Linked DNA regions of Drosophila melanogaster. The gene in region 2 interacts genetically with the main gene of each other region. Each region holds a gene or a part of one and is shown on either strand. Other genes may lie near its edges.

Region 1 (4,764 bases), on a different chromosome or scaffold from region 2:
AAACCAACCCCTTAAATCCCACACCTTTCACCGCACTGAATACACACGCAAACTCGCCCAGCTCGAGGTGCACCTCACGATGAAACTATCTTATGCAGTGTTTTTATTTATTTTCCTTGGATCTTTTTTAAACTACCACGCATGCACTACTCGAACTACCCAATCACCCCCGCGAAACAATGCAGTGGGAACACCACCAACTCCCACGTCCTTATAGGGGATGTGAGCACGACCCACTTGCGCGTGCCACACATATATCGAGAAAAGTGGCCCAGCAAAAGTGAGCACACTTCTAAACCTTGATTGTAATCAAAATAGGCATCTGATGATGAGAGAAAGGGGAAAAGAGTAGAGAGAGTATATGTTCACCCCCTAAGACACATACATATATACATTCTTATCCGGATTCTGAAAAAGGTGGGTGATGAAATTGTGTGAAGGAACCTAAAGTATTGCCAAATTAAAAAGCTCTGCGTTTGTTGGATGTAGTCTTCAGGTTTTCTTTCTAATTATAGAAGTAGGCCATTTTAGAGTCCTTTAAGATTTAAGGCCTACACAGTGATGCCCACAGGTTGCAGTAAGCGCAACTAAACTTTGTGTCGGAAGTTAGCAACACTGTAAAGAAGGCATTTGCGATGTATACTATTCTTGATCAGTGTCAACACCACAGGCGACAAAGCCACGTCCGTCTATACGTGTCTACGAAAATTATTCTCTTAGTTTTAATGTTATATGCTTGCACCTTTTCCAAGAGTATTCTTTGTCTTGCACATGGTATATTATTCGGTACGGAATAATAAAAAAAAAAATAATTTAAAAAAGTGTAGCATCGTTGTTTTAACATCTGTACATATATATACATAAGTATATATATATATATATACATATATACACTTCAATATATTTCGGTTGTAATTGCATCGAGAAGTCGAAAAGTCACAGGGAAATTGAGGAAAAAGAATCCTAGTTTGTTTTTATATTTCGCACAAAGCGTATACTCGTAAAAGCCGTTTTTGACATCATAATTTCGGTTTCAATTTGATCAAAATATTAGAAAAGAAATTATACTCTTGTTGTATCCGATCATAAATTCTTCTTATTCGGTGTTTTCTCAATTTACTATTTAATGTAAGCGTATGTGTGCTTTCGCGTTTTATATGTATTCTTAAGGCAATTTTTAGTATTCGTGAATATTTCATTATTTTTGAATATTTAAATTCTTTAACCCCAGCTTCCGTAAACTCCAAAAAGTTACTGCCGTTTACATCGAAGTATCGTTTATTCTATCTATACATATATAGGAAAATTAAAAATACCTTAAGACACTTTTTTATAATTTTAAGCATGCAAGACTAACAGCCGCAATAATTACCAAATTATGATAAGACAATTTGTTATGTTCTGCAAAGAATTGACCCCACCGTGTTTTTTTACTTTCCCTTTCCCACAATCGAATTTTCTTGGTACTGCTGTTTCTCTCTCTCCCTCTCTTAATTTCCCACCATACTCTTTTTTCTGTGCTGGACAGCACAGCTCTACAAAAATGAAATGATAACAGCGAAAATACAAACGAGAGGCAAGTTACGCATGCGAAGGTTGTCGCGGCAGTGGAGTCGGCGCAAAGACCACCACTGTTCATAGCAATGCAGTGACAGAAATATACATATGTATGTACATATACAACCAACAGTAAGAGTTCGTAGGAGTTTATAGTCGGGGAAACAGGAAAATACCAGCAAAAATGTAATCTTCTTGTTATGTCTAAATTTTTATATTTGTTTGAGCTATTAAATGTTCTTGACTATCTTAAACTCATCTCGAGTAGAAACTATTTTTGTTAGGCATGTGTTTAAATCGGCCATAAAATAAATAAAATACTCTTATTCCTTAGATTTAAAAGATGTAACAAATATAATCTGTAATTGTAGGCTGGCCGTTGCCCTGTTCCAATTGGAACTGTACTTTTATAGCCCACCCCAATACAACCTATAACAGTGGCGTCCTTCACTATTGGAACTGGAAAAACCCAATGAAGGTTGCTGTGAGCTAGCCATCCCGCTCTGTTTATCCATGTGTGTATCTACAAATTTTTCGTCTCTAGGGGGTGGTTTGGGTGTTTTTCGCAACCCCAAAAACGTCAGAATCACACAGACACAGATGCATCAAAAACACGCATACCTTCCAATGCAAATGGGAAATGCGTGTGCTGTCGTGCACACAATTGGAAGTGATACCTGTTTGGCGTTTCTATTCTACAACCCTACTTTACACATCATCCTTCCTATCGGAGTTTCCTGTCTTTGTTTTAACTTTTAGCTGAGGCGCATGGTTAAGTTACGGACACTCGCAGTTGGATTTTCATTTACGGCGCCGATGTAACGGTAACACAAGCTAAATACACCAGCACACATATATGATAACCTAATACACACACACAAGCCAGCAAGAACCGTTAGCTCAGAAACTCCGAAACTTTTGGGCATTCACTTATGCCACTACAAATCTCTATATACACATATAAATTATAGACTGTCACAGTGGAAAATCGGAAAATTTGTTGACCCCTACCACTAGTTTACACCCACATACGCACCTGTGTATTTTTGTTGTTTTTCCAGCTCCTTTATGATAACACACATACACACTCACAAAGAAAAAAAAGGCGCACGCACACGAACGCGCCGCCGCTATTGTGCATTGGTGTGTTTGCCCCTGCGCCGAAAATTTTCTTTGGCGTTTATTTATTATCACACTGCACATGCGAATATTCCGTGCATTTTACATTTGCGCACTGCCGTTTCTAGGTTGTAGCTCCAAAATTTCCCGCTCGCAAAGTTTCGCTGTTTTCCCTCACGATGCTTTTCCGTTAGCTTAGTTTTCAGCTGCCTGTCCCAGCACTTTTCCCCAAGTTTCGACGCAATTTTGCGATTTAATTTAGCCGAGGAATGGTATTTAGTACATGACAAATATCGATATACAGCACGCGTGATTTTTTCAGACGTCGATAATGTACACGCAATACATATCGCAGTCGAAGGAAAGCGGTCACTCTAAAATGCATAGGAGAAACGAGGATTGGCGGTCCCACTAATTGTGCTATTTAAGTTTAAATTCAAGTCCCCCTAGCGGACTTATATTAGTTGAAAAATTGATTGTATATTTTTGAGTAAGCATATAATAATCCATAAATATAATAATATAATAATAATTTTTGATATAAGAAATTTAAGTTTTCTGGTGCCAAAAAGATTTTAGTCTTTCTATGCAGGGAAAATTTGTTCCCTGGGCTTGCCACGTCCTCTATTACACTCACATATTTATAATAGTTTCATATTTATTTAGTTTGTTATTTTTTAGAAGAGTTTTTAAATTTCTCTCTAGCACTCCACCATCTCCGTATCTGATAAGAGACAGTTTATTAGTAGCTTTTTTTAAAGGTTTATATTATGAACGCTACAAAGAATATACAACATTTGATCCACGAATTAATCAGATGTAGTTATTAATGTAACAAAACTTTTAGGATACCCCAAAATAATGGTAAATTTTAAACAGTCGAAAAATTTATTATTCGGGAGTCGAACTGCAATTACACGTAAGCCCTTCACAAGGCAGCTAGCAATATTTAAAAAGGAGTAAGCTAGCCAGGCCAAATGAAAAACTGACATACAATCAACTTCGTATTTCACACGCGGGAAATTTAACAAAAAATAAAAAACAAAAAAATAGTTTAGGGATATGAAATCCTGAAGGATTGGTAAACTAGAACGACCGAAGACGACTAACTGCTTGCCACCAAAAATGTTGGGTTTTTATGTCCGTCGTCGGCACTCACACAATAAAATTCATTATTAGGATGTATATAGTGATAAAAGGAATTGTTTTTTTTTAACACAGATTGCCCGTATGTAAAAACCAAAGAATTCATATTATATAAAAAGAAACCACAAGTTGCTTATCGCTGTGAAATGAGGCTGGTAGTGCGCTTGCACTATGGGGAATTTAACATGTTTTATTGGCATAAATTAATATCTCGTAAACTATTTAAGATACGATGAATTTAGAATTATTTTGGCAAAGTGGGTGCCCCGCCCACTCCCATAAAATTTTTTTTTTAAATCAATATATTCTATCTAATCCACCAATGTATTGGAGTTACACCATGTTTTAGATTGTCCACAATCGGTACAAACTTAAGTCTCTTAACATTTTTATTGATAAAAAAATCTTTCAGAGTCGCATTTCGTACACTTCTATCAGGGCCGCATTGCTGATTGCTACCTAAAAATGTAATCTTCGCGAAAAGTCACAATAAGTAGCATTCGCAAAAGTCGCGTTAACCGTATGTGTTCTAAGTAGGTAATTAATCACTCTAAAACATTGACTAACACACATATCAAAAATTTTTTGAAACTCAATTAATTTTCGTAAGCACTAAAAAAGAAGGTCATCGATGGCACGTGGTTTTTAACATTGATTAATTTACATTTGCGTTACATAACTTAAGCCTTGATCTTAATCCGTTAAGAAAAAAGTGTTCAACAATTGAAACATTTTTAAAAACACATTTATGCCAAAAAACGAATCAAATTCCCCATAGTGGCTTTGGATTTATCTGAAACTTGGCCCTACTTATTCCTTATCGGCAATTCTTCCGGAATTCTACACGAACTGGCCTTATCGGTTCTGCATAATCGAAACTGGCAGTGATCTTGAATTCAGTATTTAATCCAGCTTGGCAACTTAAAACTGAATTGGGTCAAA
Region 2 (4,993 bases):
CATTATCATGATTAGCTGGCGCTGCATCTTTTTAGAAAGTTAGCGGCACACGGCGTCGTCTTTGCGGAATTTCCAGTGCATGAAGAAAGATACAGATGCGTTTTCAGCAGATATATTATATTGCCTCGGCTCTCATTGTTGTTGCTACACACACTCCATAAGCACAAGACATATTTCTCATTTGAGCTACCGTTGAATTATGTGCAAATGCAATTTGGTGCTGCACTTCTTTTTTTTCAGCTGTTATTGTAGCGTAAAATTGAGCGTGGACGGACAGAAGTGCATAAATATGTATGTACACAGAGAGAAAATAACGTAACTAACGTAAGGTCACTATTAAGTTATTTACACAACTTTAATCAAGGGTCAAATAAATCCTTGGGGTTCTTAAATCAATCTACAAAGTGTCTTAAAGTATGGCACAATTTATTTACTGCATAATTTTAGATATCGAATGAAAAGGAATATAACAAATGATTTGATACCTTGTATTTTCAAGCATTTTTTCACTGTGTACCCAATCCAATTCAAGACTTCAAGTGGATTGAGTTTGGGATTGGGAATGACCCGGGTCGTGTACCAGTTCTGGCTCCGCACAAGTCGACTTGTTCAAGCTCCAATTGGCAAATTAATCAAATTTTAATTGCGACCAGCGTAAAGAGCGAAAACAGCCGGCGAACGAAAAGTGGTAACCGCAATTTGAGTGGCTGTGAAATGCAAATCGCTTGTGTAACAGCGGAAATGCATCCATCCATCCAAGCCACTCGATTGGAATGCCGCACTGGACACAGTGGCCATCGTTCATCATTGCCGATCGATTGTTTGCCTAGGCCTCAAATATATAAAATATGTGATCAGCCGGCACTATCACCGCCTTGATAAGGCACACAGTTCGGCTCCACCGATTAACATTTAGCAAGAGTCACGATATCAGTGCTCTCGAGGCCAAGAATTCGAAAGACGAACAGAGCAGAGTAGAGCGATTCGATGAATCAACGATCCGCGAATTAGACAAACACAAGTATCTAGATACGACATAGATACTTTTAGTACCCCAAAGAATGCGAGAATATGCGTCACTTGTCTAGCCAAGAGCCGTGTACCCGGTCCCCCAGAGACGACTCCTCGTGTCATTAACCGGCCAGCGAGTCGCACAAGGGAATCAGCCCTGCACAATGGACACAATTCGACTCCAAGCGTTTCGAGTCAACTGTATTGGGAAACTAAATTGGTTCGCATAGTTAGCGAAAACAGAAACAACCCCACGCTTTGAAATAAAATACAAGTGCCATAGTTTAGCGGATAGAAAGTGAATCAGACTGACAAACTTTTAGTCACCCAGTTTCTATTTCTTTCAGAGATAACGAGATTTCAAAAACAAATGTGACTTATTGCTTGAATAACACTTGCTTAGTAAGACTTACTAAGCACTTACTTAAACTGATAGGTGTAAAAGAATAAATAAAAGTGTTTATTTGATAATTGTATATCCAAATATTTGCATAATTAAATGAATTATGAGAATGAACAATTCCATTTTTGGTAATATGCATATAAATTAAGCATTTGTGTAGCATGGGTGGATCAGATTTGGATTTTGAAAGATAAAGCTTCATCACCTTATAGAGGGTAAGGTCTTAAAAGTTATTTTAAACCGACATATGAATACCTAATTTGGAAAGTGTAATTTGTTGTGATAAAATGAATACTAGGTTGAAATATTTGAAAGAGGGAAATATTTTTTTTGGCAGATTGATGATCTGAAGGGTGGTTTTCGTCACACCCTCCCCTAAAAATGGTACAATTACAATTACAATTAGAAGGGAATAGCAAAAATAAAAAATATTTCTCCAATAAGTGAATTCCCATTAAGCTAATAACCAATTTTGCCACCACATCGCCCCATCCCACCCACTGTGCGGTTTTTTGGCTTGGCACACATTTTGCATACGAAATATTCGCGGCAGAATTATCAAAGAAAAAAGAATGGAAGATTTGCGGGGGAAGGAAAAGCGGTAAAGATGATGACACCGCGAGCCATCAAACCACAGGGAAATGTACGCAAAAACATTAAATAATGAAACTACATACTAACTACTGTACATATGTACATATGTATGTACTTATGATTTCTGTGTGTGCATTTATGAGCTGGTTTAATGAACGCCACTTTTGTTTTGCTGCCCGGTTGTTTTGTGTCTTTGCCGCCGCGAGATGATGATTATGTAAATTGTAGAAAAGTAAAAGGGAAACTAAATACGAGCGCATGCAGTGTGGAATTGTGTTTTCCTTTTCTCCCATGTTTGTGGGCATGTAAGACAATCGAGCGTGCCGATATTAACGTATTTTCCTTAATGCGGTGATTAATTATGCTGAGGTGAAGTTGAATGGAAGTGCTCGAAAATAGTTATCAATTAGGCGTGCCACAATCACTTGCAGCTGTTGGAAAACTAAAACGAAAACAACAACAACGAAACAAACGAAACACACTGCGTTTTCCAACTGATAAAGGAGCACTCACACACATAGACACACACATGCACGCACTTTGCACACCCACACTAGGGCGCAGTCGCGTTCTGATTGGGACCTTTATTGATTTTTCCTGTAAAAGGAATCGGCAGGAGAACAGGAAACTACTAAAGAGTATCTCATGCTCCAAGTTGAGCTAAACACATTTGTATTCGCCAGCTGTATATGGTGCGCATTTATTGAGTAAACATTCTGCGTTTTATTGTCAGGCCCAAAAAGAACAATTCCAATTGGAAGAGTCAGCGACTATACTCCCACACACACACGAACCCAGAGATTCTCCGATTGGCGTACCTTGACTAAAAACACAATTTCTCGGCAGCTTCCTCGCCCACCAGATGACACATTTCCCGCTTTATCACTTGTTTGCCCACAGATATTGCCACTATTTGGATTCTTGGCTTGTTTCGCGACAAAACAAATACGCAGCGCGGCCGAAATTCCGAGTCCGCTTATCAACAAAAATTGCGACCAACCGCGGCGAGCAGTGTGACTGTTATATCGAGAATTCGAAAAACCAACAAGAAATAGCTGCTAGGGATGGGAGAATGTAGCGATATCTTGGGATCATATATATCGCTTGAATATTTACTTCGTTCGTAATATATTTATACTGCAATTTATTTTCTAACCTTAAAGATTTAGTGCTTATATTTTATTCATTATATATCTCGGTTAAGTAATACGTACACCGTTAATTTAAAAGAAAAAATTTAAAAAAAAATGGGATAGAGTTAATGGGGCCGAGTCAGACCAACGCTATGGACTGCATATTAAAACGGATTTGGTATTGTTTTGTTTGTTAAATTATTGAATACATTGAATGAATGTGCCTCCAAAACTGTAACTGCGAATTGGTTCGGGTCTTAGCTAGACCATAAATACCGGTGTGACCGTCACCGCTAAAATGAAAATTCCCTCAAAAATGCAATAGTAAATAATCCATCGCTTAGCAACTGGCCACACTGCAACGTATATAAGCCGACGAATCCCGAATTTTGTTGTTGTTCTTCAAACAGCTGAGCGGCGGACGGATATTTGTTGTTGCTGCGCCCGGGAAGCTGCGCAGCGGAGAACGCGAAAAATAATAAAACGCAAAAAATAGCGAAAATTAAACGCGTTGCAAGTGCAGCAGAAAACAACGGTAATAATTCGCGAAGCCAAGGGACAAGCAATTTAAATTGCGCACAGTGTAGAAATCCAATTGGAAGTTCGGCTGGGAGTCCCAAATTCGTATTGATTTTCTTGTTTGTGTGTGCGCGGGTCCGTGAAAAAGGCAACAAAAGCAAAGCCACCACTTCCAGACTTCCCAATCAGCCACTTCCTTTTCTTCCACCTAGCGGTAATCATTGCCAATTGGAACCGCGATCGTTGCCTTCCAGCGACAACAACAATGTAGCAAGTGTATTTTCTGCTTGTAGTTGTAGTTATTAAACAAGATAAAGTGCGAGAAAGAGAAGGAGATAGACAACAACAAAAGCGAAAGTTTTATTGAGTGCGTAGATGTGTACGAGTGTGTATGTGTGCTATTGCGAAAAATTGTTGATAAATATTGGCCGTTATAAATGCGAATTCAAATGCAGATATTTGCCGATGAAAAGGGTGTTTCCTCAAAAAACCGTTGATTAATTATAAATGCAAGGAGTGGCCGGCTAAGTTGGATTTTTTCGGCTTAACTTGCAGCGAAGCAGCAGCGACAAAATGTGGATACCTTCGAACAACAAATACGGAGTTGGTGAGTAAATAATAAGAGTAGGCGGTGTGCCACCCACTTTTCCAAGCTACCCACCACCCCCCGCTGGGCGTCACGTGCGCGGCCTTTGTTTTTATTGCTGCCTTTTGCGGCGATTCACGCGTTTTTCCGCGAAACGCCGGATACCATGCCAACCACCCCCGCACGTTACCGAGCGGGGAGGAAAAGCGACTTTTCTACTTATTTTTGTACACAAACTGTTTGTAGCATCATCATCCCCCAGTTCACCGCACCGCCCCCCCCCCCTTTCCATGCAGCGTGTAGTGTATCTCAAAGAGATTTCCCTGTTTGTTGTTGCTGCCGCTGCGCTGCGATTTGATGTGTTTATACACACAGTTTTCCGCGCGCTCAGTTTTCCCGCACAGCGCTCGGCTGTCGCGTTGCCAATTTCCCCCCAGCCCAGGTGTTGCCAATTTAAATGCTTTCGTAATTACGAACACCTAAAAAAATGTTTATTTCGCAGACAAAATATATATTTGTCCAAGTTCATATGGTTGATTTTGATTTGAAACGTTTCTCTGATTCTGATCTGAAAATAACTACATCTTAATTATATTTCCTAGTATGCTAATATAAAACCTACTCGGTAGATAGAATATAGAAATGGGAAAGAAAAACGCTTCAGTGCACATGGTAAAAACTATTTAAGATCTCAAGAATCGAAACTTGCTTGCTATGGACTTTATTTTTCTCGTTACACATTTTACT

What was found.
Region 1: of Apc (region 2) and ewg, changing one suppresses a phenotype caused by changing the other (phenotypic suppression), as found in Drosophila melanogaster (2 studies listed by BioGRID).

What each region holds. Positions count from the first base shown.
Region 1 is NC_004354.4:276,592-281,355, forward strand, and holds the start of ewg (erect wing), read right to left. Parts: upstream 3,044-4,764; 5' UTR 2,594-3,043; intron 1-2,593. UniProt on the Drosophila melanogaster protein: May function as a positive regulator of transcription in developing and differentiated neurons, regulating common aspects of neuronal differentiation and maintenance. Requirement in the CNS may be higher than in the peripheral system.
Region 2 is NT_033777.3:28,841,734-28,846,726, forward strand, and holds the start of Apc (APC-like), read right to left. Parts: upstream 3,016-4,993; 5' UTR 2,827-3,015; intron 551-2,826; exon of another isoform or gene 486-550; intron 1-485. Other genes in the region: spg (sponge), read left to right, coding at 4,234-4,267.